Linked DNA regions of Arabidopsis thaliana. The protein of the gene in region 1 interacts with the protein of each later gene in a pairwise test. Each region holds a gene or a part of one and is shown on either strand. Other genes may lie near its edges.

The links.
Region 2: the proteins of AT5G66560 (region 1) and AT5G57860 interact in a two-hybrid assay, tested with the Arabidopsis thaliana proteins (one large-scale study listed by BioGRID).
Region 3: the proteins of AT5G66560 (region 1) and AT1G03140 interact in a two-hybrid assay, tested with the Arabidopsis thaliana proteins (one large-scale study listed by BioGRID).

What each region holds. Positions count from the first base shown.
Region 1 is NC_003076.8:26,558,725-26,569,584, reverse strand, and holds AT5G66560 (Phototropic-responsive NPH3 family protein), read right to left. Parts: upstream 5,398-10,860; 5' UTR 5,218-5,397; coding exon 5,180-5,217; exon of another isoform or gene 5,075-5,179; coding exon 5,005-5,074; exon of another isoform or gene 4,904-5,004; coding exon 3,575-4,903; coding exon of another isoform or gene 3,569-3,574; exon of another isoform or gene 3,493-3,568; coding exon 2,923-3,492; 3' UTR 2,732-2,922; downstream 1-2,731. Other genes in the region: PSBO1 (PS II oxygen-evolving complex 1), read right to left, coding at 9-302, 599-841; AT5G66550 (Maf-like protein), read left to right, coding at 8,330-8,455, 8,557-8,628, 8,715-8,789, 8,870-8,953, 9,040-9,109, 9,212-9,303, 9,393-9,434, 9,530-9,610 and 1 more; AT5G66540 (U3 small nucleolar ribonucleoprotein), read left to right, coding at 10,275-10,860. UniProt on the Arabidopsis thaliana protein: May act as a substrate-specific adapter of an E3 ubiquitin-protein ligase complex (CUL3-RBX1-BTB) which mediates the ubiquitination and subsequent proteasomal degradation of target proteins.
Region 2 is NC_003076.8:23,435,437-23,445,670, reverse strand, and holds AT5G57860 (Ubiquitin-like superfamily protein), read right to left. Parts: upstream 8,118-10,234; 5' UTR 7,942-8,117; intron 7,752-7,941; exon of another isoform or gene 7,716-7,751; 5' UTR 7,681-7,715; coding exon 7,678-7,680; intron 7,398-7,677; coding exon 7,212-7,397; coding exon of another isoform or gene 7,197-7,211; exon of another isoform or gene 7,066-7,196; coding exon 7,026-7,065; intron 6,643-7,025; coding exon 6,584-6,642; 3' UTR 6,268-6,583; downstream 1-6,267. Other genes in the region: MPS1 (multipolar spindle 1), read right to left, coding at 1-65, 158-271, 389-437, 528-607, 810-866, 984-1,130, 1,263-1,320, 1,527-1,694; eIFiso4G1 (MIF4G domain-containing protein / MA3 domain-containing protein), read right to left, coding at 2,238-3,236, 3,321-3,563, 3,651-4,001, 4,094-4,181, 4,301-4,398, 4,500-4,709, 4,800-4,907, 5,013-5,084 and 1 more; ADCL (D-aminoacid aminotransferase-like PLP-dependent enzymes superfamily protein), read left to right, coding at 8,384-8,519, 8,710-8,756, 8,993-9,159, 9,248-9,924, 10,029-10,123.
Region 3 is NC_003070.9:753,761-764,201, forward strand, and holds AT1G03140 (splicing factor Prp18 family protein), read right to left. Parts: upstream 2,544-10,441; 5' UTR 2,464-2,543; coding exon 1,621-2,463; intron 1,131-1,620; coding exon 711-1,130; 3' UTR 501-710; downstream 1-500. Other genes in the region: PSAD-2 (photosystem I subunit D-2), read right to left, coding at 1-382; AT1G03150 (Acyl-CoA N-acyltransferases (NAT) superfamily protein), read left to right, coding at 2,701-2,778, 2,885-2,975, 3,794-3,926, 4,177-4,246, 4,439-4,499, 4,590-4,681; FZL (FZO-like protein), read left to right, coding at 7,561-8,050, 8,126-8,631, 8,750-8,818, 9,253-9,450, 9,539-9,670, 10,220-10,306, 10,397-10,441.

The DNA.
Region 1 (10,860 bases):
AATCGAACCTCGAAGGGTCCTTCGATCTCGTCAAGGGTGTAGGTAAGACGGGTCATGAGCTTTGTGTTCTGGAACTCTGGAGGAGCGTTCTTGCTTACACTGTCTGCCTTGACGGTGAAGGAAGTAGGCTCGAAGCAGAACTTCTTTCCTGCATACTTTCCGGGTTTGAACGAGAAAGTCTCAGAGCCACCGTCAATAGTAGGGCACTGGTTAGCCGTTCCAGTTCCTTTCACTTCCATGTATGTCTTGCTCTGAATCTCATCATAGGTCAATCTCTTTGGAGCTCCCTCCGCACTTGCTCCCTTTCATTACACGAGAAACAAGCAACTTTAAATCAAACTCACTGATCCAAGAAGATTGTATCTACATGAATCGAAGATTACAGAATTGGAATAGCGGTTTCTCCTTCTATTATACTATCCGAGTCTGTTATTGGTTTAGGTGTTCTCAAGTGCCAACTTCGATACATAGTAATGCAAATCATAAACATGTTATCACAAACACAACAAAATACTCTTCTTCTCTGTTACTCAATTCTCCTTTTTTTTCTTGATTAATCTATAGTTTTAAAGGAGAGTCGGAGATTAAAGAAAGTTACCGAGACGACGAGAGCAGAGGTGGCAAGAGCGAATCCGGCGATTTTGACAGCGTCGGAGCATTTACCGGTGAAGTCCTTAAAGTCAGACTGGAAGGAGCAAGTGAGGCGAGCCGAGGAAGTTTCGAGCCCAAAAGATTTGCCGACGGCTTGAGTCGATCGGAGGTGAGAACTTCCGCGAGAAGGAGCGGTGGCGATCTTCGCCGACTGGAGGAATGTAGCGGTGGATTGGAGAGAGGCTGCCATGGCCACAAAGTCTCTCTTGAGTTTTTTTTTTGGTGATCCAAAGCTGTGAGCAAAGTAAAGACTAAAGAGTAATAATCAAAAGGGCTGAGATAAGATTGGGATAAGGCAACGATTTTGATTGGTTTGTTTCGTGGGAATCGGAGTGTCTGGTTTTTTTTGTTGCCACGTGTCGAAATCTGAAGTGGAGATATGGATACTGTCTCAGTCAGGGGTGCTGACCTGTATAATAGTATAAAATAATCAAAAATTGTTATGTTGTAAAAACATTAAAGGTGGCCCATGCAGGTTTCGAACCTGCGACCTTCGCGTTATTAGCACGACGCTCTAACCAACTGAGCTAATGGGCCTTGGATGCTAACACTTAAATGTAAAATTTAATTTTCAATTAATTTTCTTTTTTAAGGCTTTCAAGTAGTAGATGCAAAGAAGGCCCGGCCCACTAGGTTTTTGTCCAATGTCCAATTGATCTTCAACAACATTTTTCTTTTATGGATGCTGTTCTAAGTATACAGATAGAAATCATATAAATTTTTTCTGATTTGGTCCTGATAAATTAAAAATCTTAATCGATCCTTTAGAGCCTGAATCAGAATGTACGTCCCTCTCAGAAATTAACTCATCATATGTAAGAATGCCAATACTAGAGGTTTTGCTTCAACTTCAGGACTAGGATGCAGGGAATTATCCAAAACCACATTGAGCACAGTCTGCTTTCCAGTATACAGTTTGAAATTACAAGTTATGGTTTCTCCTTGAAGGCCTTATGTTATATGAACTTGGCATCTTTGCTGTTATTTTTTAATATCAAGAAATAGTTATGATTTCATAAACTTATTTTTTTTGTTAGTTCAATTGGTTTATCACTTGGTCTTAGCAGATTGTGTTATATTATTAGAGTATCTGTAGATTCACTTGAAATGTAGTGTTCCCTAGAGTCAATATAATTGAATCCGAATTTAGTGACTACTAATGCAATGATATCTGTGACTGAAAATTAAGAGCAAGAGAAGGCACTCAGAATGAGTAGGAGGTATAGATTCATCAATAAGAATCAGATGACAATAAAACAATCCTCATCATGCCTTTCTTCTTCCTGCTAAGTCTAATTAAAACAAAACTAATTGAACAAAAAGGATTCCTCTCAGACAAATGCCTCGTTTGTCCCCATGATTTAATGAATGGATTTCATCGGACTCGTCATCTATTGTTCCTTCATCACTGAGAAATCCCCTTTATACACGTTCCTAAAACCTAGATATTTTAGAATGCTAAAACGAAGAAAAATAATCCTCTCAGACAAATGCCTCGTTTGTCCCCACGATTTTATGAATGGATTTCATCGGACTCGTCATCTATTGTTTCTTCATCACTGAGAATATTTTTCCTTCTCTAAAAAAATCTAAATTATTTTCTAAAAACACAAAATCGAGTCGATCAAAGATTAATATGCCGATTCAAACACATATTGGAAAATCAGAGAGTATCAACTGATTCAAACGAAATTAAACGAATAACCCTAATAAGATGGGATGACAAAGAACTAAATCTACGGAAAACGAGGAAATTTACAGAGACTTAGGTTTGATTCGGTACTCGGATTGTGCTAATGGCTTCTTCTCAGCCAAAGCCGGTTGATTTATATAGTAGAACTAAAGTAGGGTTTAGGTTTTTAGGAACTCTCCTTTATAAAACGACATGAAGTCCTACTACCGATTCTGAACAGCGAGTAGTTCGTCCCTCTTTTCCTACGTTAAAACGGCGCACATTCCACAAATATGAAACAATTTCTCTCCAAAACAGTGCCCAGTTTACGATAGATAAGGGCAACTGAAGCCCATTGTTACGGCCCATTCGGAGGAAGTCGAGAAAAGGGCTCAATTCGAAACGTTTAACGATGGGCTTTGTGCCGTATGTCATTTCTGGTTTTACTAATTCGAGTACAAGACTCAAAACGATGCACATTTGTGTAGAGCAGTCGCATAGCAAGAATCTCGAAGGATTAACAAAAACTAAAATCCAAGAATCACAACAATATGCTTTCTGATTCTGTACTAAAAAGAGTAAAATCAATCGAAAACAATTCAAGACCGTCGTGATCTATGATCAACCATCGTTGCTTCGTGTGAATCGCAGACCTGTGTCTTGAATTTACATCCGAATTTTTTGGTAATCGACCAACTTCTCGGCCGATCAGTCGTCGTCGCCGGTGATGAACCTTCCTTATCAATCTTCGCGATCACTTTCTTCATGTTCGAGCACTCTCTCTCTAACCGATGAACACGCGTCCTCATCGTATCCATATCCAAGCGAAGCACCTGATTCTCTCTAACCGTCTTCTTCCATTTCCCAGCGTCCACCTGTCTTTCTCCTTCCGCTTCATCACCGTCCTCTTCCGTTATCGTTAGATTCCTTATTGCCGCTGACGGTCTTGGCTCCGTTGACTGTGACGTAGACGGCGATTGAGCAGCTAATAACGTCCCGGCGATCGCGTGCCGGAGTTGTAACTGCTCGAAGAAGAGAACTTGTACGACGGCTCGTAGCGGAAGCCGCTCGTTTTGCGCGGCGTGTGTGCACGCTTCCAACGTCAGTTTCTGACAATCCATCACGCCGCATATTTTCTCTCTCTCTGCTTCCGATACCCATGGATGCGCCTATTGAAGAAAACGAAATTTTCAAAACAAATCAGATCCAAATTCTCCGATCTTCTCTTCACATTGAATTTTATTGTTATACCTTGAGATATACGTCGACGGCTCTGTAAAGTCCGTCATCATAGAGACGAGCTTGATCTGGGAGTGAGATGGCTAGATTGTAGAACTTATCCGATTTGAGATTAGCGTCCGATGCGATCTCCGCGAGAAATCCGTCGATTAATTTCCCGACGAGCATCAGCGACGGAGATTTTCCGTCAACTTCGACTATGGCGGTGTTGGATTGTTCCAAGGTGTCGAGAAAGTGGCCTAAGATTCTCTCTACCAAATCAACATCGTATAAAGTCTCGTTGAGGTATGAGTAGCTAGGGACGAGCAAATCGTCGAGCGTGGCTCTCTCTAGCTGCGATCCGATCTTTCTCTCCAGCAGATCACGGCAAATCTCGGCGGCGTTGAGGATGATTGCGGTTCGTAATAAGCCGAAGAGGAATCTCGTTGTTGAGGAGATGGAGCTTTTATCTAATGGAAGATTAGAGGTTATTGTTTCCAGTAGTTCTCTCTGTTCATTCTCTGAAACTGCGGTTGAAGATGACGATGGCGGTTTCCGGTTAGAACGTAGAATCCCGGGAATGTGCTTCTTAGCGTAACAAATCAAACAGCTCTCTATGATATCGGAGCTCAGATCTCCTGATCTCATTGATAGGATCACAGTTTTGAAGATCGGAAGACTCAGTTGCGTCAGATCTTCAAACCACAGCTCCATGTTCGAATCTCTACTCGGTTTCTTTCGAGATTTCGCCGCGCCGCCGGGTATAAGTTGCAGATCGGTGGCGGAGATGTTTCCTCTTCCGCCGCCATCGTTTACTGGCCAACCGAAGAGTGAAGGATCAGCTGAGGAAGCTCTGGAGACTATAGAGTCGATGCACTGTTCCGTTATACCAAGCGATCCGGCTAAAGGAGAGACTGACTCACAAGCTTTGAGAGCTTTAATGGATTCACGCAAGCTCTTGTAGACGGAATGAGAGAGAAACCTCTCAGTCTTGGAAATTAGGTTATCTGGTGAATACTCTTCCGTCATTTCGAGGTGTTCGGCGGCGCAACGAAGTGGAACAACGGTGGAAGCAGAGAGGTCCATCTTGACGCCGTAGCAGAACTTCGCCACCATCTCAAAGCTCTCTGAACTACCGGGAAAATCCTCGAGTTTGATGTGAGGATAACCATTTTCTTCGATCTCCTGCTCTTCCACTTCTTCTTCTTCTTTATCGTCCTCGATTTCATGGCCTTTACCTTTCTTGTCAGTCTCTTCTACTTTTGGGTCTATTACAGTTATCAGCGCCATGGAAGAGGAAGATCTAGTCTCTTGCTCTGTAATCAACCTGTGAAGTTTCCTGCTCTTTGACATGAGTGGAAACTGGAAAAGCCACAGACAACAACACAAATCTTGTGAGTAATCAAAGAAAAAACAGAGAGTGCCAAAGAAGAAGACAAATCTTCAGGCTTTTGTGAACGCACCTTATGGAGATGGAATGTCATGTCATCAACTTCGATTTCAATGTCACTAGGTAACCCAGTCGTACAAAACCTGCATCACGATACCAAAACGAAAAAAAAAAGGAAATGAGAAAATTTCTTTAGGCAACATTTTAAAATATTATTATTGTTAAGATAAGTGTTAGCTGATCTTCACCATGCTTGGCCCTTGGAGGTAGATTTCTCTGACGCCATTAATGGAGACAACAACTCAGGGCTCTGAAAAAAATATCACTCAAGACAGGAAAAAAACAAGACTCTCTCTATCTCTTTCTAAAGAGGAGAATATGGAGAGAACAAGAAGGGGAAAGGGAAGGAATTGGAATCCTAAATCATAAGAAAGAGACACATTAAAAGCAAAGAAAAACATTATTCGGATATCGAAAAAGGGGATCTCGTTTTTGATCCATCTTTTTATTTTCTTTAATTTTAATAAAAGTTAATGTTTAGTTGGAGAACAGCAAGAATCTCAACTACTCTCAACACGAGACACATTTTCAGATAAATTACGCTTTGGGAGAAGCAAAAATCCCACTCATTTGTTAATCATTTAAACTAATTCTTTAGTAATATATACACACCCCTCTCGTTTTCTGCTTTCCACTGTTTCTTTTTATGTGTTACTATTTCTTTTTTAATGTGTAATGCATTGTTTCAATTGATATTACAAAGTATATTAATTGATTTTATTCGTATTTTTTTTATTGATATTCATTTGATAAATCATCAAAACTAAACAAAAGAGGAAGCTGCTTTTTGTTTAAGTGGCAGACATATTATCTAGACTGTTTTTTAGATATAATAACGTTTCACCTAATTCTGAAAATTGGGAAAATTTGACGTTTAGGAAGCCCATGTGGACTGCAAGGAGACATTAATTGGTGTTTTTCTAAATTTATATATATATATATATATGAAATTTATTGCAATATTTACAGATGTAAAGTGAGTAGCAAGAGAAAAGAAAAAAGTATGTGCAATTATCAATGCATTGATTTGTTCATCCACAGTCTAAAACCAAACAAACAAAAACAATACACTAATAATTCGACCTTTTTGAAATTTTGAATGTGGAAGCAAACATTACGGTTGCTCGTGTTTATTATATATGTTTGTAGTAGACCCCTCTTTGGAATTGATTGTTACAAACATTTCCTTTCATGTTTTTAATGCTTATCTAAATATGTTCATCTATCATCTCATACTAGTACACATTTTCTTCACTTAGGTTTAGGGTTTTTTGGGAGTTTATGAAGATGTAAGATACGTCTATTAATATGTAACTTCTTAGTATGATAGTTTCATTTTTTTGGCTTTCCATTTATGAAACAAAAATCGTATCAAAATATATATATACTTATTCCAAAACATTCTTTTGGGCTTTAATATACTTTTCCCCCAAAAACATGTGGTGTATTCTTGATCTTTTTAAGCATGGATGCAATATCTTGGACTCCATCTACTAATAGCACAAGACAACAAAAGAAACACAATCAAAGTAAGCGTAGACTTTTGCGAAGAGAACTTTGGAAGTCATTCATTTTTCCTTCATCTCTTTTGCTTTATCTTATTCCTTATGATCTCGTGTTAGGAGAAATATCATTTGATGGAATGTTGGCTTTATAAAGTTACGAAAGACTAAACAATTGTGGTTTCATATTCTCCTCACATCGTCTCGTCCATTTCAAACTTTCACACCATTAAACATTAGTTAACATATACGTTGAAATTTGTTCACAACTAAAACGCTTCTGTCAATTTTTAGAAAAAAACAGAATATCAATCACATAAATGTAACATTTGTGTTTATCCTTAATTGACATACACTATATCACAAACTACTAGTCTAGTAGCTCGCTTAAATTAAACAAACCATTTGATATACAATAAACGGTCAACGAAAGTTTAGACCACAAACTCCAAAAGAAGCAAACATTCATTTAAGAATCTAAAATTCTATGGGTAGGAAGTTACCCTTGTTCAGAGGCTGCTTCGTTTGATTTTTTTCTTTTGGACTTTACGTAGACTCTGAATAGTCTTAAATGCTTATAATTTCCATGAATAGACTTGAATAGACATGACAAACATTTTTGCAACTGCACACACGAAACAATCAAACCATTTTGATTTGGCTGTTTCGTGGCGAAACGGTAAACCACAACGCTGATTCTGGAACCTTCTTGAGGAACATCAGAGTCAAGTATAACGTCAATATCGAAGAGCTTTCGAGCTTTCTTGAAGAAGACATATTCTTTCTTCTAGGCCATCTTCTTAGAGGAGCCATCAGGAATGTTAACTTCTTCCCCTCTGGCTGCATCCTTGTCATCATCAAAACACATCGTTTTGAGGAGATGTTTGTTCGTAGAGATGGTCGTGATACACAACGTGGGCGCCGATCACCACCGCGTCCCATTTCTTCCACTGGTCATACACGTTTCAACTCCTTCACTCAGAGTCTATGTCACTTGTTCTATCTCTGTTACTTTCTCCCCGGTAGTGTTTAGTATTTATAAAATAGTCCTAGTAGTTGTACGATTTTCACAATAACTTCCATATGTGCGAGAAGCTCAAAAACAGGCCCAAGGGTATTTATAATTGCAACCCCTTTGAAAAACGTAAATTGCTTTATCACCAATAATGTTTGATAATTTATAAAATAATTCAAATAGCTGTAAGGCCTTACAAATAGGCCCAATTGTTTTTATGGCTTGTAAACTATTCCCCATTTTTTTTTGGTCGATAACTATGCCCCATTTGAATACCTATTTTTCTTTTCCACAATTTGAATACCTATTTTACATTTACATGTGACATCTTCTTATTGGATCATACAGATTACAGGCTGTGATAAAGAATGGAGGATCAACTTTACATATTTTTCTTTTCACAAACACCATTTTCGGGAAGACAAAAATTCCAATATAAAGAATTCCAATTTCTTACTATCATTGCAAGAATGAAGATTTTTTAGCTAGATAACCTAATTTTCCATGACTAATTAGCTAGATAGCCTAATTCCATGTGAAAGGTTTGGTTGTGATTGGTGAGATGACAAAAAATATATATAACTATAATGTAACGGTAATGTTAAACTATTGTTAAAAATAGTAAAAAACTGTACATGGAAAAGATGGATTTTATTTAAAATTTTCATAATAAAGCTATAGTTAAAACTTATGATAAATGAAAATGGAGTATTACAATAATATTCTTCATAGATTGAAAAAATATAAAAAAAGATAAAGATAAAGTTGAAGGGAATTGTTAAGAGTTATTCTTGAAAGTAGAAGAAGCGTGTGGATTGGACATGGGCTTAAAGACACACAAATTCTTTCTACGAATTTTGTTAATTTTTGTTATATTTCCTTCTTCACTATTCCGCTTAGAGCACAACACCACGATGACGACCAAGGCCATGGAGAGAGGATTTAAGGTTTGTCTCTCTCTCTGCTATTTCTTCCCTTTTTGGTAGAAATTTGAAAAAAAATCAATGGGAAAATGCTGATGAAATGCGAAATATGCTCAAACGTGAAGCTGATTCTGGGTTCTCAATCCATGGCGAGAAAGAGGATTTTGGCTGAAATGGGATATGATTACACTATCGTGGTATGTTCAAATTGTGATTATTATTGTTTTGCTATGGATGTTCATAACATAAATTGAGTTTGGCTGGGGATTATGTTTTTTTTAAGACTGCAGACATTGATGAGAAAGCTATTAGGACAGAGAAGCCTGAAGATTTGGTTGTGGCTCTTGCTGAAGCCAAGGTACATAATAATACTCTAGGGTTTTGTAATCTTGATTCAATGTCTTTTCAATTTATGATGATGGTAATTGTTTTGACTAGGCAAATGAGATTATATCGAAATTGGGAGGTGAGAGCCAGTTTGCAAAAGATCCTCAACCAACTCTTTTGATTACTGCAGACACTGTATGCTTTGATGCCTCAACACTTTTTGATTAGAATGTTAACTTTTTGGTATCTTTAGCTGATGTTATGGTGATGGAGTTTATTAGGTTGTTGTGTACAAAGGTGTTATTAGAGAAAAACCAACCACTAAAGAAGAAGCTCGTGAATTTATCAAAGGTTTCGTACAAGTTAACTATGTACATGTGTTCTATGATACTATAAGCCACTTGTAAGGCTGATCATGGTTGTGTTTAAGCGTTTTGTTTGTAATCTACACAGGCTATTCCGGTTCACACGGAGGAGTTGTGGGATCTGTTCTTGTTAGAAACTTGAAAACTGGAGTTAAAAAAGGAGGATGGGACAAAGCTGAGGTACGCAGATATAAACTTTTCTTTCTGTTTTGTCAAATTTTCTTGTGGATTGAACAATTTGTGGTGATGTGAATGTTGTGGTGATGCAGGTTTATTTCCATGAGATACCAGAACAAGTCATTGACGGTCTTGTAAAACTTCTAAAACCACTCTTCTTCTTACTATCGATCTCTTGAACTTAGTTTGTTTTGACATATAAAGTTTGTGTGTTCTATTCAATCTTCAGATTGATGATGCAATAACTTATAAGGTTGCTGGAGGTTTAACACTGGAGCATCCCCTCATTTCACCCTTTATCGATTCTGTGGTTAGTTCCCTTAATACAAAAAGCTCGCGTCTTTGATCTACACTTGTTTGATTAGTTTTGTTTCAGCATATCATTAAGATAGATGTTCAAAGAGATGTTTATATGATAACACTCCACTAAAAAGAGTTTTGTTGTAATGTTATTGTAGGTGGGAGGGGTTGATACAGTCATGGGACTTCCTAAAGAACTCACAGAAAAATTCATAAACGATGTGTTGTTGTAGCTCAAGTCCCTTTTTGATTATGTAGGAATACTTTTGAATCTCTCTAATCAATCATTTATTTTGTAATTTGGTAAAACACAGATTTATCGTATCATGTTTTTAAGTAGTGATGATGTTTTCAGATTTCAAACTCTCATAAAGCAATTGAAATGTGTCAAAGTTTTTGCAGTTTAAACAAGTTTCAGACAAATGTGGATTTTTAATGTCTGAATTACGATTTGGGCCAATTCACAATGTTAAAGGCCCATATATTGGCCCAATGACTAAGGGGTAAAACTCGCAGGGTTTTGGAGAGATACCATTGAGGTTTCTCTTGTCCCTGTTCCTCTTCTAAAACCTAACCGCCGTTTAAACCACCTTCGGCACCGCCATTGATATACTCTACTGTTTTCGTCAAATCGAAGGAACCCTAATTTCGAGGGCACTGAGGAAGCTCAATCAATGGCTACGGTAAAGGATTCGGGGTTTGAAGCCCTTGAGAAGCTTAAGGCAACAGAGCCACCAGTTTTTCTAGCGCCAAGTTCAATATCTGAGGATGCTCGCTCTGCATCTCAGTATCTATTCATGAAGTTGAAGCCGCATAACCCTAAATGTCCATTTGATCAGCTCTCTTCTGATGGGTTTGATGCGGAGCAGATTTGGCAGCAAATTGATATGCAATCTCAACCTTTGTTGACTAGCTTGCGGCAGGAAGTCAAGAGATTTGCTAAAAACCCTGAAGAGATTCGTAAACTTGGGAAGTTGGCCCTTAAGGTTTCTCATGAAGATGATATTGATGAGATGGATATGGATGGTTTTGACTCGGATGATGTTGATGATGAGGATAAAGAGATAGAATCTAATGACAGCGAAGGAGAAGATGAAGAGGAAGAGGAAGAGGACGAGGAAGAAGAAGAGGAGGAAGAGGAGGAGGAGGAGGAGGAGAAGGATGGAGACAATGAAGGAATAGAGGATAAGTTCTTCAAGATAAAAGAATTGGAGGAATTTTTAGAGGAAGGTGAAGCAGAAGAGTATGGGATAGACCACA
Region 2 (10,234 bases), 3.1 Mb from region 1:
ACTTCCAAGTTTACGGATCAAATGTTGGACATAAAACCCAACACTTGTTTCTAGTTGTTTCACCTCTAAAACAGATGGTGAAGGAAAACAAATCGTAGAAAAATGATAATTAGGAAGGAAAACACAGTTAGAATCATTATTAAACTGTTGAAGTTACCATTTCCTTTGACGGGAGTGCACATTCTTGTGATCAACTGTGTAATCATGAAGCTGATAGATTCTTCAACAGATTCTAAGTTCCTTCCCATCGATATTAACTTCTTCAGTGAAGCTTGAGTATGCCAAACAGAGCATTAATTCATAAGTGCAAACCAGGTTTATATTAAAGGAAATGCAGCTCAGGACTTAAATAATTTGTTTGCAACTCGGGAACTTTGAATAATATTACCGAATATGAAATCTACAGCCTGATGTGACCAATTGCTGAAGTTAGAGTCCTGCAGAATATAAGAAGCAAGTTCAGAGTTGCAAAGCATTTAAGAGTGCGTGCATATTACCAGAAAAAAACTTAAGCAACAAAGCCTAACATTGGAGTCTGCTTCAGACAGTTCCAGGAGAAAATCTATAGAGATCCTAAGATGTTCTGCTTCCTCTTCATAATCCGGTTCTGCAGTCAAAGTTTCAACTCAAATAAAAAAGAGTCCCAGAATATGAAATGATGGTGCTTGGTTACATAGACTCTGTTTTCCACTTCTCTCTCCCATATAGCACATTACGTCATATTATGATATGTTCTTGTATTGCTTTAAGGAAATTGAAACTCTGAGATAATAGACGCTAAACCAGGAAAAGGAAGACCCTAAACAAACCTGAGGGCTGCAATCTTTGAGATGATCGAGTTAACTTCCTTCTGCTCCTTCTCCGCGCTAAGGATAAAATGACAACACAAGCTGATAAGTTAAGCCCACAAACACAAAGGTAACAAAGAGAATACAAAATGTTCAAGCTACCAGACTGATGAACCTAAGAATAGGAAAAGAGACCTAGTCTGAGAAATCTACGACGAAGAACATCATTAAATCTCGATTCAGAGGCTTCTCCAATCCTCCTACCGCTGAATACTCCCAAGTTATCAAAGAAATAACACTTGCAAGAAGCATTCGCTGGGAATAAGTCACGATGAAAAGAACCTATAATTGACACAAAATGCATTAATAGAAAGACCAATCAGTTCTAGAAACATCTTGCAGCCTTTCCATTTTAAGAATCAATAAATACAGAAACGAATTTTTGCAAAAGTTAAGAGAGGCAGAAAAAAATACTTTCAGCATCCTTGAGATCTTCCTGGAGTCTGATAATCTCTTTCTTCCTCTCTTTAGCCTAATTTCAAAATCGAAAATCTCACTATGTTAGAACCTCCGTCTCGCAACAATTAGAGCTGACCTAGATTTCTAAACGAAGAACAGAAATCGAAATGTAGCCTAGAATTCGTAGATTTCACCAGATATATATATCAGATAGTTCGCAACGAGAAGGCCATTAAAACCAAATGCAAAAAAAAATAAAAAAAAATCGAGAAGTTTCACCTTCTGCTTCCAGCGAAGTGCATCAGATTCAGAAGAAACATAACAACGGGAAGTAGAAGAAGAAGATTGATGATTCTGAAACTTAGATCGTAGCAGAGAAACAGCGATTGCCAGTCTCAGCGACTCTTCCTTCTCTGTGTGATTTGCTTCAGCTACGCTTGAACTCATTTTTGTTTAAAATTGAAAAAAAAAAAAAAAAGTATTTTAGTTTTCAGGATAATAACTAATGATTCTCTGTCCTGCGCGGGAGAGTTTTTGTGACGCTTTACAAAGCCCACTCAGGCCCATTGATCAAACTTGATAAAGCTTAAGGTCGAATGAATCATTTACTCAACTAATGTTAGCTCAGAATCAGATAGGAATAATAGGAAGACGATGATCAAACATTTCCAATGTAATTATCTGAACCGACCAGTTTATAGGGGTCTCAAGTCTCAACAACAATCAACTGAATATAATAACTGAGACCGTAAAACAAAAATGCAAAGGTCAAAAAAAGACAAGTCACAGAAGAATACAAAAAAGGACATGGACTCATGCCCACAAAGAAGAGTGGTGAGAATAATGTCATAAGAAAAAGCTTCAACGAAGAGCAAAACTATTTTTGAGTTCTGAGAATCCTTTTCTCCTCCTCCTTCAAGCTTACAACACAACATTCATCGCACAAGCATAAGACCCAGAGAGAGCAAAATCGTCAAGTAATGATTCCTTTTACAGATTCCGACAAGCCTCTATGTCTGCAGCCTGTGAGGCCAACAAGGACTTCCCCTGCTCGCTTGACTCCACAATGCGTACAGCTGCATCGACCACCATCTTCTGGAACCTATCGTCTTCCATCTTCCCTATAATTTCTCTAACCAATTTGAAATCCACACCACCAGCCAGAATCAGCTTTCCCACAATCTCACCAAAATTGTTTGGTGCCTTAGGAAGATCAATTCCAATGTCGTCCAACATAGCACCGTAGAGCAAGAACCCAGTTTCAAGATCCTTGGGTGCGACTACCTTCTTTGATAACAAATACTCCAAGAGTGTAGCAATTGGCTCAACGACAGGCGGGCTTTTCTCAAGAGACAGGGATATTGCTTCCTTCACAAACTCTGGGTGATATGACGGCAAACCAAGCTCCTCTACACACTGCAGAGCTTCACCAAGTAGTCGGACATTGAAATATTCCTCGAGAAGCGACTTTGTTTTTCTTTGGAGCACTTCTTCGCTCAACTTGGGACCACTAGGCTGTGGTTTCTCCACCGGAACTGGTACGGTCAGAGGTGCAACTGACTGTGCTGGCCGTTCTGCTGACACGGTAACTGGACGCGACACTGAACCACTTCCCTGCAACAGTGCGCTTGTCTTGCCACTCATAATGCCACTGCTGCCTTGAGGTAAGAGCCTCGTGTTCATTGAGGCCGACTTGCTCACTGCTGGAGAATGTAGAGGTCCTGGCCCATCGCGTCTAGACATTGATCTTGTCCGGGGTACCTCCCAGTTATCATTGTCCACTCCGGGCATCCCAGGCATCCTTCGCGTCCCAGGCATACCAGGCATCAAGCCACCCGCACCAGGTCGCCCACCAGGGTAGACAGGGCCAGGGCTCACAGGCCCACCACTAGAAACCATACCCCTTCTCATATTTGCAGTGGCACCTGGTCGGAGACCAAGATTCTTCTCTGCCTCAGTATGTATTTCGGTTATAGTTCTTGCTTTCATCTGCACGAGTAATGTAAATAGAACATTAGAATCACTACACAATGGAGCAGGAAACAAGTCTCAACCTTGTAAAACCTAGAATACCTCTTCCCGCCTTGGAACCCAGCCATTGGAGCGCATGTCGATGATATTCTGAACCATGAATCTCAGACGCAGTTCCAACTGAGGATTCTTTGACAGAGCCTGTAGGCGTTTGAAATATACATCATTAATCCGTTTTGACTTCACGTTTCCGTCAAGTTGTTTGCCAATAGTTTTGAAGAAATGACAAATAGCTTCGACATTTTCCTCGGCTGGACAAACTTTCTCATCGGCCCCCAGAAGCTCCTGTGCACAGAACAAATTAAGAAAGGTTAATGCTAGATACCAAAATAAAAGAAGTCTAAGAAAATGTGTAAGCTTATAGGTGTTAACCTGAACAATGTGATGAACAATCTTTTCTGGGACCATCTTCTGCTTCAAAAGCTCACCAATCAAACGAATATTTCCTAGAGTCTTGAGCTTCAACAATTTTTCTTTGTCATTCCGCTCAGCCTCCTGATCTGGAGCACTCATCTGTCTAAGCTCCTCCCTCAACTGAGAAGCGCCCTCAAATGCCTCTTGACAGATATTCAGTAGAACCCTCTTAAATGTAATCTCCTTATCCCCAGGCTCTGCAGGTGGGAAGGTGGGCAGCTGGTCGTTGATATCAGAGCACAATTTTGCATACATAGGGCAAAAGGTCGGCTCAAGGACAGCTTTGTCAAAAATAAGGGTAATCACACCCTACAAATGAAAGAAAAGAACACGGGTTAGCCACACAAACAGCCTAGATGATTCAAACAAGACTTCATCTATGCTTGAGACATAGCATACACCTTCAGGATATCAGCAGATGTGATGCCAGATTCAATAAGTTGGCCCTTGAGAAGGTCATACTTTTCAGGGGTTAGCTTGTTCAGTATCCTGGACAAGAAAAGTATATCTTTGTAAGTGTGCATAGTCTATTTTAAAGATTTCATGTTGGCAGTAAAGGAAAGTTATACAAAAGTCTAGACAACTAATAACTGTCACAACGGCATTACCCTTTCACAGTCTTCAGAACACGATCATTTTCAGAAAGGTTTCCTCTTCTAGCTGACCAAGGAACTTCGGCTTTGACGAGGACAGGAGCTGGTCCACCCTGGTTCCACACGATATACAAATAAGTAAGAAAAATAAGAAATCATGCCAGAATGTAAAGGGCTAAGAAGAGGGAAAAACATTCATCTATTGATCAATTACCCCTTGGTTGGATGATATGTTTGCCCTTGAAAACTGGGAATTAGGTTGGTCTTGACGATTATATTGACTTGCTTCAACATACCTGGAATCTTTAGCTTCACGAAGATTATCCCACGACCTTTCCTCCCCAGAGGGTGGAGGTTGAGTAGAACGGCTACGCCAATCACGAGAGTCTGGCTCAGAGAAGCGACTTGCGGATTGAACGGGAACCTGAACCATTAAAATAAAAGATATGTGTTAAAAGTGAAACTTCATGAAACTATACCAAAATGCAAAATTTATGTTTCAACAAAACTATACCAAATTGCTTACGACACTTTCTCCACGTGCCCAAGTCCCTTCCTCACCAAACAGTTCAGCTGCAGTTTCCCGTTGGACTCTCAGAATTTCATCAGAGAGTTGAGTGGTCTGTATATATGCACAGACGTCAATGACCTCAACTAAGGAAGAACAAATACGAACAGCAGAAACTAAACCGGCTTTAATCCTATATTATTTAACTGGGATAATCACCTCTTTAAGCTCCAGGAGCTGCTCACGGGTGTACTTCACACGTTCACGGCCATCGAACCTCGAGTCTCCACCCTGAAACAAAAGCACAACCCAGGATAAATCTTCATTAACTAACACCCAATACACAAAATCATATAAGAAATAACGTATAAAGGAGACAAGGAACCACGAGTACTCAGTACAAAAGAAAGAGAGGAATAATTCTTTAACCATAAGGCCGAAATGAGTGATGAACTAAAGAAAAACTAGAAGAAATGTCAGTAGGTCCTTTATGAGCAAATAGCAGCTAACAAAATGCCCACCTAAAAGCCTACATATCATTATACGTCCATATTTACAGCAGAAACACATACTTGCGTGCGCCACTAAGAATCAGGACAAACAAACTGCTTGCATTACTCGTATTGACATATAAACCTATGAAGTTCAATTATGTATGTTGCAGACACCTATCAAAATCCAACATGAGCTCAGTAGTTATTACAAACACAAAGCATTAAAACTCGCAAATCAGAAAGATATTAGCCAATTCAGACATTTGAGAGAATCAAATCAGCAATATACCAAAGATTATAATTCCAAACAAAAAGGCTGCTGATTGCGACAAACCCGTAAAAAAGGATAAATTTTTAGCTCAAGCTAAGACAAGAGAGATAAAACAAATTCTAAATCAGAGGAAGAAGAGGGAGTTAGATCCAAATTTAGAGAGGGGACCCAGAAATGAGGGTACCTTGAAGGGAAAAGAGGAAGCAGGAGCACCACCATGAGGACGAAGGAGAGGTAGATCCGAAGATGAAAGAGAGCCAAAAGAGAGAGACGAAGAAGAAGAAGAGGAACCAAATAGTCTGTTTCCTCGACCGCCACCAGGTCTCAAGCTCAGAACCGTTTGATCGCCTTGCTGCATACCTCGATCTAATCCGCCTTAAGATCGAATCGAATCTCACAACAAAAATCGAAGAGAAAGGTAGAAGCTTTATCAGCGACGATGAATCGCTGACTCCGATAATCCAAGGAGAGGAGGGATCGGATTTCTGGGTCTCTCTCTCTCCTGCCGTTAGCGAAGAAGAGAAGAGAAGAGAAAAGTTGAGATTGAGAAATGAGAAGAAGAAGAAGAAGTCGAGAAGGAGACACAATCCCTTCTCTTTATTAGGGTTTTTTTCCTCTCTTTTTCCCGAACCAGACACACTTATAGCCTTAACGTTTTTTTCCGTTAAGATTACAGTTATGTCCTTTCATTTTGTTTTTTTGTCTCTTTATTTTGTCACCCTCATTGGGTTTTCCGTCAATGAACAATGTCAAATGGTAATAATGGAGCTTCCTCGGCTCGTGTTAGCTGCACCTCTAGCTCATTGTAAACATATTAAGAGACTGTAAAAACTACTAATCTGGCAAGTTGCAATCAAACTTCCACATCTCAATATCTTTACTTACAACAATTGTCTGTAACAAACTAAAGAGGCGTTAACACAAGCAGAGACGCAAAAGAAACAACTTCTGGCGTTTATAGACTCCTCCTTGTGTTTTGAATCAATACCTTCTCCTGAAGTTTCCTTGATACAGTAAGCAACTCTTCATGAAAGTGAGAAGTCGGTGGGCTGTGCAATGTTGACATCCTCAAACTCGTTATCATCTGCACATGGAAAAAAGAGATGCAATGCAATCATTATGCCGTTCATAGCTGTATAGATTCAGAATGCAATACAGCATCCTCAACAGTTGTGTAATCGAAACAAGGCTAAAAGAATAATAAGATTAGGAATCACATTCAGCTATATCACGGTCACAAAAGTTAGGCAAGACTCTTAAACATACCAAAAGATTATCCAGTGATAACAAAATAACTAAGATTCACAATAACAGGCTCAATTGAAGTCAATGGAGTTTGAAGGGTTCATATACCAAATAACATATAGAAAGATGAAGTGTGATAAGTAATTAACCAAGATGCATGATCCATTACGACATTTCAACAAGGAATTGAAAATTTCAGAATAAGAGGATCTAAGGTATAACCTTTCTTCAAAGTCAAAGCCACAACTGCATCATTCTCAACCTGAACAACCAAAAAAGAAGATGGTGACAAGCTTATAACTTTCAAATACACGCAAACGGAGGCAGTGGCTATGTGACCAAGTTCTTCTTTTAAACTTGAGCAATGACTCAAAAGATAAATATATTAGATAGTCAAACGTGTGATACCTTCTGATCTGCTAAGGATTTCGAATCCTCTAATACTTCTTCGGTAGACATTAAGACCAGACGCTGATTGTTAACTGGTTGCTCAATGAGAGCAAACAGTTTTTGCTTAACATCCAAAACAGTCTCTGTTGGATCACATTGGATAAAGTAAGTAGTTTTCATGCGCTTCACACGAATATACATAGCCTGCAAACAATATTACACAAGACTAATCAATACTACAACCAATATGGCCAAAATCTAACTTGTTCGATTGATTAAAGCAAAATTATTGCAAGACAAAAGTATCTCAACTTTTATTACTCCAAGAAGAACAGTAATAAATGTGATCAGGAAGCTGGAATTAAGAAGGGAAAAGATGTTCTCATTCCAAAAACATCTCTACTTCCCGTCAAATAAGCAAAGGATTGAATATACTAAGAACAATCAAACCCATCAAAGTGAACAAAAGAAGTAGAATGTTTACCATGGCAAGATAAGGATGAACAATTCACTCTTCTTCCGCTGCCGATTCACAAGACTTTAGAATCAAAATCTGTTCTAAGATGCCAATAAAAGATTAATCAGACTATCAGTGACAATTGACACACCTCAAAGAGTCAATTTAACTAAAGAGATGATCTAGTTATCCCCCAAATCTTTTCTTCTTTTGATATTCAAAAGAAAAGAAAAAAAAGCAAAGATTTTCAAAAATTACTGACTCAAATAACAAACAATGAAATCGACTTACCTAGATGGGTTAAGGACGAAAAAGTGACCACAAGAATGGATTAAGGATGAAATACTGGCAAAGAAATCAAAGTTGGCTTTTTTATAACTCGAGCTCAGAGCCCTACAAGGTAAGGAAGGAAGAAGAAAAATACCACTTTGGTGGCTTGTTTGGCTACAGATATAATACTAACATCGATTAGGCGTCGTACAAAACCCACTAAAAGACAGAGAGGGTTTGTTTTGTTTTAGGCTTTTATTTTTGATTGATTGAATATTAAAATACAATGCGAAAAGTCATATTGGGCTTATGGGCCGAATAACTTTATTTTATTTTTGTGGTGAAGTTAGGCCCAAATATTTTTTCGTCTTCTTCCAGTTCACGACTGAGATAATAATAATGCAAAGCAAGTTGCTATTTCCGAATGATCTCTCTCTCTCTATTCTTTTGAGTCCCAAACCCCATGGCAGGTTTGTCGCTGGAGTTTACAGTTAACACTTGGAATCTCAGGTCTCTCTCTCAAGTTCCATGTCCTTTAAGACATGGCTTTCGATTCCCGCGTCGGTTGACACGAAGAAGAACGATTCTCATGTGTTCTGGTTCGACATTTCTACCTTGTGTTCTCTCTTTTCTGATTTTTCTTCTGGATTGTGATTGGTGATGCATTTATTATAATCTTTTTAGGGTAATGTACACTTATTACCCTAAAAAAGAGATCAATTTGTTGATCGTTAAATTCCATAAGTGTTCTGGAATTGATGACAAAAATCTGCATTCGTTTCTCCACAGATTCAAGCTCTCAGTCGTGGAATGTTCCTGTTTTATCTAGCTATGAGGTAATTATGGTTTCTCTTTTATGTCTGTACTTATCAATCATATCTTTAACTCTTGAAACTGTTCACAATTTGTTAGCTAGAGATGTTTATTGACACAACCACCAGACATTTCTGTGTTTTGTCAATGAAATTATAGATGCAGCCCGTAATGAAGGATTGCGACATTTGTTTGTTATCCGTTTATGTTTAGAGGCGTTGATTGATTGAGTATCAGTGAAGTATGTTTGGTTTAAAAGGTTGGTGAGAGGCTAAAACTAGCAAGAGGAGGACAACAGTTCTTGGCCATGTACTCAAGTGTTGTTGATGGAATTACAACCGATCCAGCAGCGATGGTTCTTCCATTGGATGATCACATGGTTCACCGTGGTCATGGAGTCTTTGACACTGCCCTGATCATCAATGGGTTAGTCACTTTAAATAGTAGCCCCCTTTTCTAATTTGTCTTATTACTCAATCATCTGAGCTTCGCTTGTTGTCCTACGAATAAGCAGATACCTTTATGAATTGGATCAGCACCTTGACCGTATCTTGCGATCTGCATCAATGGCTAAGATCCCACTTCCATTCGATCGAGAAACTATTAAAAGAATTCTCATTCAAACCGTGAGCGTTTCTGGATGTAGAGATGGATCTCTAAGATACTGGCTCTCTGCAGGGCCAGGGGATTTCCTCCTATCTCCATCTCAATGTCTCAAACCAACTCTCTATGCCATTGTTATAAAAACGAACTTCGCCATTAACCCAATAGGTGTCAAGGTAGTGACCTCGTCCATCCCCATAAAGCCTCCAGAGTTTGCCACGGTGAAAAGTGTTAACTACCTCCCTAACGTACTCTCACAAATGGAAGCTGAGGCCAAAGGAGCTTATGCAGGTATTTGGGTGTGTAAAGATGGGTTTATTGCAGAAGGCCCGAACATGAATGTGGCGTTTGTTGTTAATGGTGGTAAGGAGCTTGTGATGCCGCGGTTTGATAACGTTTTGAGCGGATGTACAGCAAAGAGAACACTTACACTCGCTGAACAGCTTGTAAGCAAGGGGATTCTTAAAACTGTGAAAGTAATGGATGTGACAGTCGAAGATGGAAAGAAAGCAGATGAGATGATGCTTATTGGTAGTGGAATTCCGATCAGACCTGTGATTCAATGGGATGAAGAATTTATTGGTGAAGGTAAGTAAGATTATCATATAAACATTTTAAAAGCCTCACTTTTAATTACTTACATGATGGATAGATTGGCTGATTAAAGATGGGTTTCTTTCTGTCTGACTCAGGAAAAGAAGGTCCTATAGCAAAGGCGCTTCTTGATCTGTTACTTGAAGATATGAGATCTGGTCCACCTTCCGTTCGTGTTCTTGTTCCTTACTGAGCCAATCACTCTCTTTGTTCATCAAAGACAATAAGCTGTGGCTTTTTTGTAAAGCTTTGCTGTTATTGTAAGTTGAGTTTATCATGGGGTTTTTAGGTATCTGTCTTTGTA
Region 3 (10,441 bases), on another chromosome or scaffold:
TCCTCGCCAGTTTCAATAGATTCGGTCCTTCTCTCATTATCGCAGCTCCTCCTGTTGGCATCTCAAAGATTTGTTCTTTCGGTGAGTTCCATGTGATCACGTAAAATTCCTCTACTTGTGCTTTACGGAGGAGACCTCCTGTGCTTCCGGCGAAGATTGGTGATGGTGTGTTTGGGTCTAGCTGCGGGGGAGTGAATCCAACTGGAGCTTCTTTCACGGCTGGGGCAGCAGAGGAGGACTCTGTTTTCTCGGCGCGGATGGCGGTTTTGGTGAAGGAGAGAGACTTGGGACGGTGGCTTGATGAGAAGAGGTGGAGTTTCTTGACGGCGGAAGTAGTGGTTGTTATGGCGGGGCTGAAGATTCCGGCGGCTTGAGTTGCCATAGTTTCTTCTGTTTTCTCTGAATCTTTCTCTGTGGAGTAAATGGATAGAGATGAAATGGCTTAATAGAATCTGACAACGAGAGGGTAGATGAGAATCGAACATTTTGGGATAAGGTGATCATACCATTTGGACCAATAAGGTTCCAAGATTCGATTCTCCTCTTACCCTTACTAGATCTTTAGGCCATGTCGTTTTATGAGTTTGGATATGTTTCCCACATGCCACATAAGACTAGACAATCAGGTCAACGTTTTAAATAGACGATAATACAGAGTCAACGTTTTGATACAAAAATAAAAACACAACAAAGCAGAAAACACAGTAAGACTAGCTTTCGCTCTGAGAAGGCATGAGCCGGAGTCTCTCCTCTGAGACCTGTTCACGATTACCACCAAAGAATCTCTCTTCGGCTAGCAAAGACTGTAAGTCGCTTCCGTTGGCTAAGCTATTGAACTCAACGGCTTTAGAAGGCATAGTTGGATAACGTCTTTGACAGAAAGTCATCAGTCTTTTAACTGACTGAAGATACTTGCGAGTGGTTTCATCGTTCATGATGTGAGCAACACTGTTGGTGTAAATCTTCTCTCGAGCTGAACGTTCGTGAATACCAACCATAGTCACTCCAATAGGCCATGGCGCGTTCCCGATAGCTAGTTTGATGTAGTGGTCCATTGCAGCAAGGTAGTCTCGCTTTATGCAGTGGTTAACCATCACCATTAAAGCTTGACGAATGTCAGCTGGTAAACCCTGCAATTTTAAGCCATAACTAGAAAGATCAAGTTCACGAAACCTCATAAAATTTCAGTGTAAGAAAGTATACATTCTTAACACTTATAAGACAAAGACAGAAAGAGAGAAACTTTTTCTGCATTCAACATTCCAGCCTATTTTTCTTCAGCTAAATGGAGATAACTAACAGAGGCCTCAATGGCAAATTCAAGGTGCATACAGATTCCAACTTGCTATTCTACGTTCTCATTGTCTACCTAGCACTAGAACTTATTAGAAAACTCGTCCTTGTCGCCATATAATCAAAAGTACACAAACTAATGGAACCTAAACACTGCACATTGGTCTTCCTACCCAAACTATGCTTAATAAACATAGTTCTCTAAGCTTATTAGATAGAACTGAGATAATCTATCTCCAATTTCATAAACAGAGATAATCTCCCTAACAATTTTCTTGCCAAACAATGATTTACACCTAATTAACAATCGAAAGCAAGAATCTTTACCTTCTTCCTGCATAAGTTGAAGAGAGGAACTAGATACCTAGCACACTGCTTAAAAGTGGCTACCATCTGTTTCCCTTTTGCAGTTCTCCTCTCAGTGTTCTCCATCGCATCAAGCTCCTGTTTCCATTCAATCAACAGCTTCTTATAAAACACAAGGATCTTATCCTCATCGCATAGATCCTCAAAGTTAGCTTTCAAACGTTTCATATCTTTATCAGCATCAACATCACTCGATTCACCACCACTAAGTTCATCTTCCCTTGTTTCACCTCTATCACCTTCGTCTCTTCCTCTCTCATCTCTACTCTTCCTCTTCCTATCTCCCATCATACCACTCTTCTGCCTCTTCTTAAGCTCTGCGATGTCACGCAAGAAATCATTCGTCTGTCCTTCAGTCATATCACTATCAACCTCGAACAATCCTTCCTTCAAAACGTACTTGAGTCGATCGAGCCGCGATTGATCATCTTCTCCGAAGAGAGTCATCGGCTGCTTAAGGAATCTCAAACGACGAATCACTTCCTGCCTCGGGAGAATTAGGTTTTCGTCGGTTAGGGCTTTTGAATCGGCGATAGCAGCAGCGTCCGATGCAGAGGATTTGGAAGACGCAGACGTAGCTGCGTTAGAAGAACCAGGAGCAGAGCCGGATGATTTTCCATCTCCACCGGAAGCGGCGGCGGCGGCTCTCCGCTGAGCCTTAAGCTCGTGCTCGCGTCGTTCTTCCTCTCGAAGCTTCTGGATTTTCTTCTGCTCGATCTCAGACCGCTTGAAGAACTTCTTACCACCAGATTCCTCAGCTAGACTCTTACGTTTCTTCAGAATCTCTTCCCTGAGCAGATCCATCGGAAAGGTTTCTTCAATCGCCGCCGAGGATTTGGTTCTGTTGTCTGAGAAGGTCGCGACGACGGGAGATAATGAAATTTGATCATCTTTTACATGACGTCATCAGTGTTATAGGCCCAAATATAAATGGGCTTTATTAATTTTCTAACTGGGCCATGTATATTGCTTTGTTGTTGTCTCCTCTTTCTTTTTCCAGAGAATCTGACGAAGCTCGAAGGGATTTGAGAAAAAGAAGAGATGACGACGATACGTAGATTCAGCTGCAATGACCTTCTCCGATTCACTTCCGTGAATCTGGACCACCTCACTGAAACAGTAATCTCGTGTTTCTTCTTCTTATTATCTGGTTTCGTCTGATTATTGCTTTGTTTTGCTATGGCGATTTTGTTGATTTTTGTTCGAATTTTGTTTCGTGAAACAGTTCAATATGTCCTTCTACATGACCTATTTAGCGAGATGGCCTGACTATTTTCATGTTGCTGAAGGTCCCGGCAATCGTGTCATGGGTTATAGTAAGTAATCCTCTTGTTCTCTTCGTTTTGATTTCTTTATGTCTTCGTTGGTTTAGGAATTTGAAATTCGTGGAGATTATGTTTACTTTTAGGGTTGAAACTTAGATGATAAACTGTTAGTGTAAAAGCCACTATTGATTTTTTTTGGTTATCAGATGGAGATAGCTTGAATGTTGTTAAAACCAGGAAGAGTGACTCTGTTTGAAAACTGATTAACACAAACCAGGATGTATAAGTGTTTAAACAAATTCTGCTTGTATTAGTCCTAGTCTCTGTAGTTAGCGGTTTTAGAAATCTTGATATGGGGTAGAAGATGCATAGGAAGCATGGCTTAAGATTGTTTGTGCTAACTTCTAAATGTCCAGAGAATGAGTTATGAGTTATATCAAGGCTCAAATTTTTCTGTCTTTCAGTGTTTGTAGTATAATGATGCTATACCTTATTGGATTGGTTCGAAATGTGATTTATACAAGGCTTTATCTTTCTTTATTTTCTTCAAGTACGATATATGCTTCATTATTGACGTTCTGTTCTCGTGGTGCCCTATTACTATACCTGTTTTTCTCCCTTTTCGTGGTATAGTTTGGAAAGAGACCTTGGAAGTATAGTGAAACCATTGAAAGAACTGAGAGTAAAACTAAGCTTTTGGATATTAACACATTTGAAAATTAAGCAGTGTCACTGAAATGTTCTTTTGTATAGTTGAAATGTTATGGTTGATATTCTTGAGAATCCAACGTAAGTGACATATGTAAAACTTGTTCTTATAAATATAATTTTAAAAGCATGTGTCTAACTAAGATTCTACATGGTTTCAGTTATGGGTAAAGTTGAAGGACAGGGTGAATCTTGGCATGGTCATGTGACAGCCGTCACTGTCTCTCCAGAATACCGCAGGCAGCAACTTGCAAAGAAACTGATGAACCTTCTGGAAGATATAAGTGATAAGATGTAAGACTTAACAATTACAAAGCATCTCAAGTTTTAGTGTTCTCTTTGATATGGATCGTTATGATATAAAATATGAAAGCCTTAATATATTGATATTGGCTTTCGAGTGGACCATTTATTTATTTGAAAACCGATATATTTAGATTGTTTCAAAGGAAGAAAATCTTGAATTTCTCCTCATTGATTTTATATATTATCTGGTAATTTCTGGTCTTCTAATGATTATTATACTTGTGGTTATTGATTGCAGTGATAAAGCCTACTTTGTGGATCTTTTTGTAAGAGCTTCCAACACACCAGCCATCAAGATGTATGAAAAGGTAATATATTAGGATTATGAAATTGATTAGAAGCCTCATAATGTTGATGACATTGTAGGAAAAAAAGAAGAAGTTGTAAATGGGACATGCACACATTTTACATATTTCCATTTATTAGTGTCAAATCTCCTTCATAGGCTTCTTCTTGATGGCCATTTTGATGAAACAAACCGTTTCTCCTTTTTCTGGCAGCTTGGATACATAATTTATAGGCGGGTTTTACGCTATTATTCAGGAGAGGAAGATGGATTAGGTGAGGCTTTGATTAACTTCTTTTTATCTATGATTCGCGCTTAACTTTTTCTTTTGTTTAAATCTTAAATCGTTTGATCTAAAAAAACAGATATGAGGAAGGCATTATCAAGAGATGTAGAGAAAAAGTCTGTGATTCCTCTCAAGAGACCTATCACACCTGATGAATTAGAGTATGATTAAGACCCTAACTTGGTTCACAATTGTTATCTGCATTAAAAATTTCTCCAAGAGCCTTTAGATGATGTTACTATTCCTGTTGTTTCGTATTTGAACTATTATGTTTCGTTTTCTTCCACACAAATTTATAATTAGTTTTGATTAAACTTTAATCTATATATACATTTTTGGAGGAGATTTTTGAAGATAATGTTGAAGATTTGAGCCATAATTCAACAATTAATTCAAATGGTTGGGTTTTACCCGGTTTAACTCTGTTCGGATCCTGGATAACATGTTTAATTCTGTTCTGATATTGGATAACATTAATTTTTGGAAAAGTTACCTAAAAACTAATAATTAAAAACGAAAATTAATGATTTAATATAAACAATATCTCTAAACTAACCATATTTCTTATTTACCTTAACCAATTTCCTAAAATATTTCTACCTAATTTAAACATAAATATATAATTCTTCTTTCATTTTTATTTGATCTTATACTTTATTTATTTTGAATTTATATAAAATATATATAGTTAATAAAATATTATATTTTTTTCTGAATATGATGTAATTCAAAGTTTTTTAAACGGACATATATTATTCAACCTATGAAGAAATAATATGTGTACAATGTCCCACATCGCTTAGAAAAATTGGACAATGGTTCAGACCCATATTATAAAAGGACCAAAATGATTCTGATTACGAATGAGCAGGAAGCTTGATTTATCAAGCGTCCAAAATTAAAATAGTTATCTGATTTTACTCGGATTTATTATTTTAAAGAATTGAAACTTTAAAATGTTTCAAGAAATTATAAATATTATAACTTTATCAAAAGTTAAATATTATAATTTTAAAAACTTTTTATAAAGTTTATCTTTAAATTAAAATGGTTTGTTTCCTAGGGTTATTTATTTTAAAAAATTGAAACTTTAAAAAGTTTAAAAAATTATAAATTAAATTTTACAAGAAATTTAAACAATATAAAAGATATTAATACGGGACGATATATTGCGAGAGAAATCTTAGATATAACACTCAAAATTCAATGATGAAGTTTGGGTCAATATTAATCTTTTTTGAAGTTTCTAATTTTATAAATATTTGAAATTTATAATAAAATGACAAATTTGTGTTTAATTTCACGGGACGGGGTTATATGGTGTGACAGGTTTGAGTGGATAATAACATGGGATAGTATGCTATGGAGAAAAACATATAATGACAATCATAATGTAATTATATAATCTTAAACACTAAACAAAATTAACAATATTAAAAAAAAAAAACTTAAAACTTTAATTTTTTTAAAACACATTTTGATTCTTTTATAAGAAATTTAAATATTATAAATATTTAAACTTTATACTACGGGTGAAATTTTAGAATTGACTGTTTGGGTTGATAAGAATTTGCGATAGAACTAGGAGTTAAAATGACAATTAAAATATAATTATACAATTAAATACTACCACGAGCGAAATCCTAGAATTGACGAGTTTGAATCGATATTAATATGGGATGGTGTACTACGGGTGATATTTTAGAATTGACTGGTTTGGGTTGATAATAATTTGCGATAGAATTAGGAGTGAAATCCTAGAATGACAATTAAAATATAATTATACAATTAAATACTACCACGGGTGAAATCCTAGAATTGACGGGCTTGATTCGATATTAATATGGGATGGTGTACTACGGGTGATATTTTAGAATTGACTGGTTTGGGTTGATAATAATTTGCGATAGAATTAGGAGTGAAATCTTAGAATGACAATTAAAATATAATTATACAATTAAATACTACCACGGGTGAAATTTTAGAATTGACGGGTTTGATTCGATATTAATATGGGATGATGTACTACGGGTGAAATCCGAGAAACAACAATCAAAATACAATTATACAATATTAAACATTTAACAAAATAAACAAATACAACTTAAAACTTTAAAATTTGAGTTATAAAATTTCTTCTCGCGGTGAATTATACATTTAAATCAAACAATAGCATTAAATTTATTAAATCATTCTAAAAAATATTCAATTATTTTTTATTTAATAAAAATATAGAACCCTTAGTTGACATAGTTGATAAGTCAAGTGTTTTACTCTTCTAATCTTAAGCACTTACCTTAATGAGACACACATATTAGGATTGGTTGCACAAGGCCGATTCTTATACACTGTATACCCATTACAACGAAGCCCATTATCAACCCTATATAGCAATCTGCAAGACAAAGATCCAAACATATTGAATAACAAGTAACTTTTTTTTTTCTCGGTCCAACTTCATCTGGAATAACAAGCAACTTTTATCTGATGTATATACTTTCAGTGACCATCTACCTTAGTTGGTTTGAAAAGAAAATAGTTGTTTATTCGTTCATGTTCTTAGAAGTTCTAAATTTTGATCATCTCTTATTTGAAAGCTCAACTAAAATAGCTATGATATCATTCCCTGATGCTACGTACTAGGTTTTTAAATTCATACACACACAAATCTATAATTAAAACTTGTTAAATTCATACACACAAAGGACAAATCTTCTTCGTATTAAAAAAGATGGAGGCTCTGGAACATCTAGTGGTGCCGTATCACTTACTTGACTGGTTCAAGCCGTTTGTCTTTGTTTGGAAGAAGTAAATTTAATTGTGGGAGAGGGATTTCACGAATTTAAATCTGTTTTTCTCCCTTTTCGTGGTATACTTTGGACCTTTTGGATATGAACACATATGTGAAAACGTTAATTCATGTGTTTGAAAAGTAATTAATCGCGCCGTCCGTCTTATAGCTTTGGGATGGGCCAATAGGATATTTAAGAGATAAGAAAACTAATCAGAAACACAGACGAAGGTATCTCACTCTCTCTCTTTCTCTCTCCATGAGAACTCTAATCTCTCACCGGCAATGTGTGACGTCACCGTTTCTTATCTCCGCCGCATCTCCACCGTTTCCTGGCCGGTGCTTTAAGTTATCCTCCTTTACTCCTCCACGTCATAGGCGTTTTTCTTCTCTCTCGATCAGAAACATTTCGCATGAATCCGCCGATCAGACTTCTTCTTCTAGGCCGCGAACTCTTTATCCTGGTGGTTACAAGCGTCCCGAACTCGCCGTTCCCGGTTTACTTCTCCGGCTAGACGCCGACGAGGTTATGAGCGGGAATCGTGAAGAGACTCTTGATTTGGTCGACCGTGCTTTAGCTAAATCGGTTCAAATCGTCGTGATTGATGGCGGAGCCACCGCTGGTAAGCTCTACGAGGCGGCTTGTTTGCTGAAATCACTTGTCAAAGGCCGTGCTTACCTCTTGATCGCTGAACGTGTTGATATCGCCTCCGCCGTTGGTGCTAGTGGTGTTGCTCTCTCCGACGAAGGTAACAACTGATTTCATTCAGTTTTAGCATTTAATTTCTCATAGAGTGAGTTTTGTCTCTCAATGCTATGTACAGGTCTTCCGGCGATTGTGGCGAGAAACACATTGATGGGATCCAACCCCGACTCGGTACTTCTTCCACTGGTAGCTCGGATTGTGAAGGATGTTGATTCTGCTCTAATTGCCTCAAGCTCCGAGGGTGCTGATTTCCTTATACTTGGATCTGGTGAAGAAGATACGCAAGTGGCGGATTCTTTGTTGAAGAGCGTGAAAATACCGATATATGTGACTTGCAGAGGCAATGAAGAAGCTAAAGAAGAATTGCAGTTACTGAAATCAGGTGTTTCTGGTTTTGTTATTTCGTTGAAAGATTTGCGTTCTTCTAGGGATGTAGCTCTTCGCCAGAGTCTTGATGGAGCTTATGTTGTAAATAATCATGAGACACAAAATATGAATGAACTGCCGGAGAAAAAGAATTCTGCTGGCTTCATAAAATTAGAGGACAAACAGAAACTAATAGTAGAAATGGAGAAATCTGTGTTGAGAGAGACGATTGAAATCATCCACAAGGCGGCTCCACTGGTGATTTTTATTTCAAACATTTGGTAGTTGAAGTCAATTTTTTGAAATGGTTCTAAGTAGGTTTTTGTGTGGTTATAATATGGTTTCATTTACTTCTTCGACTATTTTTCATTAACAGATGGAGGAAGTCTCCCTTCTAATTGATGCTGTTTCTCGGATCGATGAGCCGTTTCTGATGGTTATAGTGGTAATTCTGCACTCAACTCCGTCAAATTGTGATTCCAGGAATTTGCATTGGTATTAGCTCTATATTCATTCCAGAAACATTTTAGTTACACACTTTTGCCAGCACTAGATAGCTTGAGATACAATGGGCATGCTTCTAGTCACTTGTCCTTTAGTGCTTCTCAATATCTTCTTTCGTCGCCTATGACTATGATGTTTCGCTTCTTCTTTTGTTCTGTCTATGCTTCTCTTCTTAATTTGCTTATGGATCTGGTTGTAAGGGAACTGCATATTTCTTAACTGTACCATCTGCTTGTGTACATAGTTTTTTCGCTTTCTTGTGACTTGTGAGTATGCCGTTCTTGGAAGATGTTTTAAGTGGGACAAGTTGCCTTTATGATTCAAAATAGTTTTTGTATGGATAATTAATTGGAATCCACAATTTGCTGGTACTAGGGGGAATTTAACTCTGGAAAATCAACGGTTATCAATGCACTTCTTGGGAAGAGATACCTGAAAGAAGGGGTAGTCCCCACTACCAATGAAATCACGTTTCTGTGCTACTCTGACTTGGAATCCGAAGAGCAACAACGTTGCCAAACACATCCAGATGGCCAATATGTATGCTATCTTCCTGCACCAATACTTAAGGATGTGAGTAATTCAAAATTCTACCATCGCAGTCCTGAATTTTTACTAATTATTTGGAGGAATTGATTTGGGTTGTTCTCCTTTCGAGCAGATAAATATTGTTGACACACCTGGGACCAATGTGATCCTTCAAAGGCAACAGCGTCTTACAGAAGAATTTGTTCCACGTGCAGATTTGCTTGTTTTTGTTCTTTCTGCTGACCGCCCTTTAACTGAAAGTGAGGTAGAAGTTACCGTTTTACTTGGCATGTTAGTTGTTGTTGTTTTTGCTCAATATGTATCTGCCTAAGTAGCTTGTTAGATCTATTTTTCACGAAAGTAGTTAGTTAAGTCATGTATAGACCATCAAGACCTTGTGTAGGGAAGGGAAAGTTGTCACTAGGTTGAATGCATATATCAAGGTTTTGTTGATTATAAATTTAAACTAGACTAATTTATTTTCAAAGTAATGAGTGTTATAGCTATTGCTGGAACCAGTATGTCCTGTTGGTCCATATTTTGGTAAAGCTTAGGCCAATACATTTGAGAGGTGAGTTGTTATTGGTACAGCAAAACTGATTTTACGTCCATGGCAAATTGTATGTAAATGATCATCTACGAAGTACTAACCTTATGAATATTTGGTTCTTATTTTGAAAATCTGAAAAAGTTTCAAAAGAAGGAATAAGCTTCTCAATGTCATCATACCCATGTCATTTCTATCTCTACCTCTGGAGCTTCCTGCTGTCTTGATTTTACTGTAGGCTGATTTACATCTCATTGCGTTTGTCAGGTTGCGTTTCTCCGGTACACACAGCAGTGGAAAAAGAAATTTGTGTTTATTCTGAATAAATCTGATATCTATCGTGATGCTCGTGAGGTTTATCAGAAACAATATTTATGTCTTTTCCTTGATAGTCTCTGTAATTGCTGGATTTTTCTTGACTAAAGATTAATTTTACTGCTGCAGCTTGAGGAAGCTATTTCATTTGTTAAAGAGAATACACGGAAGTTG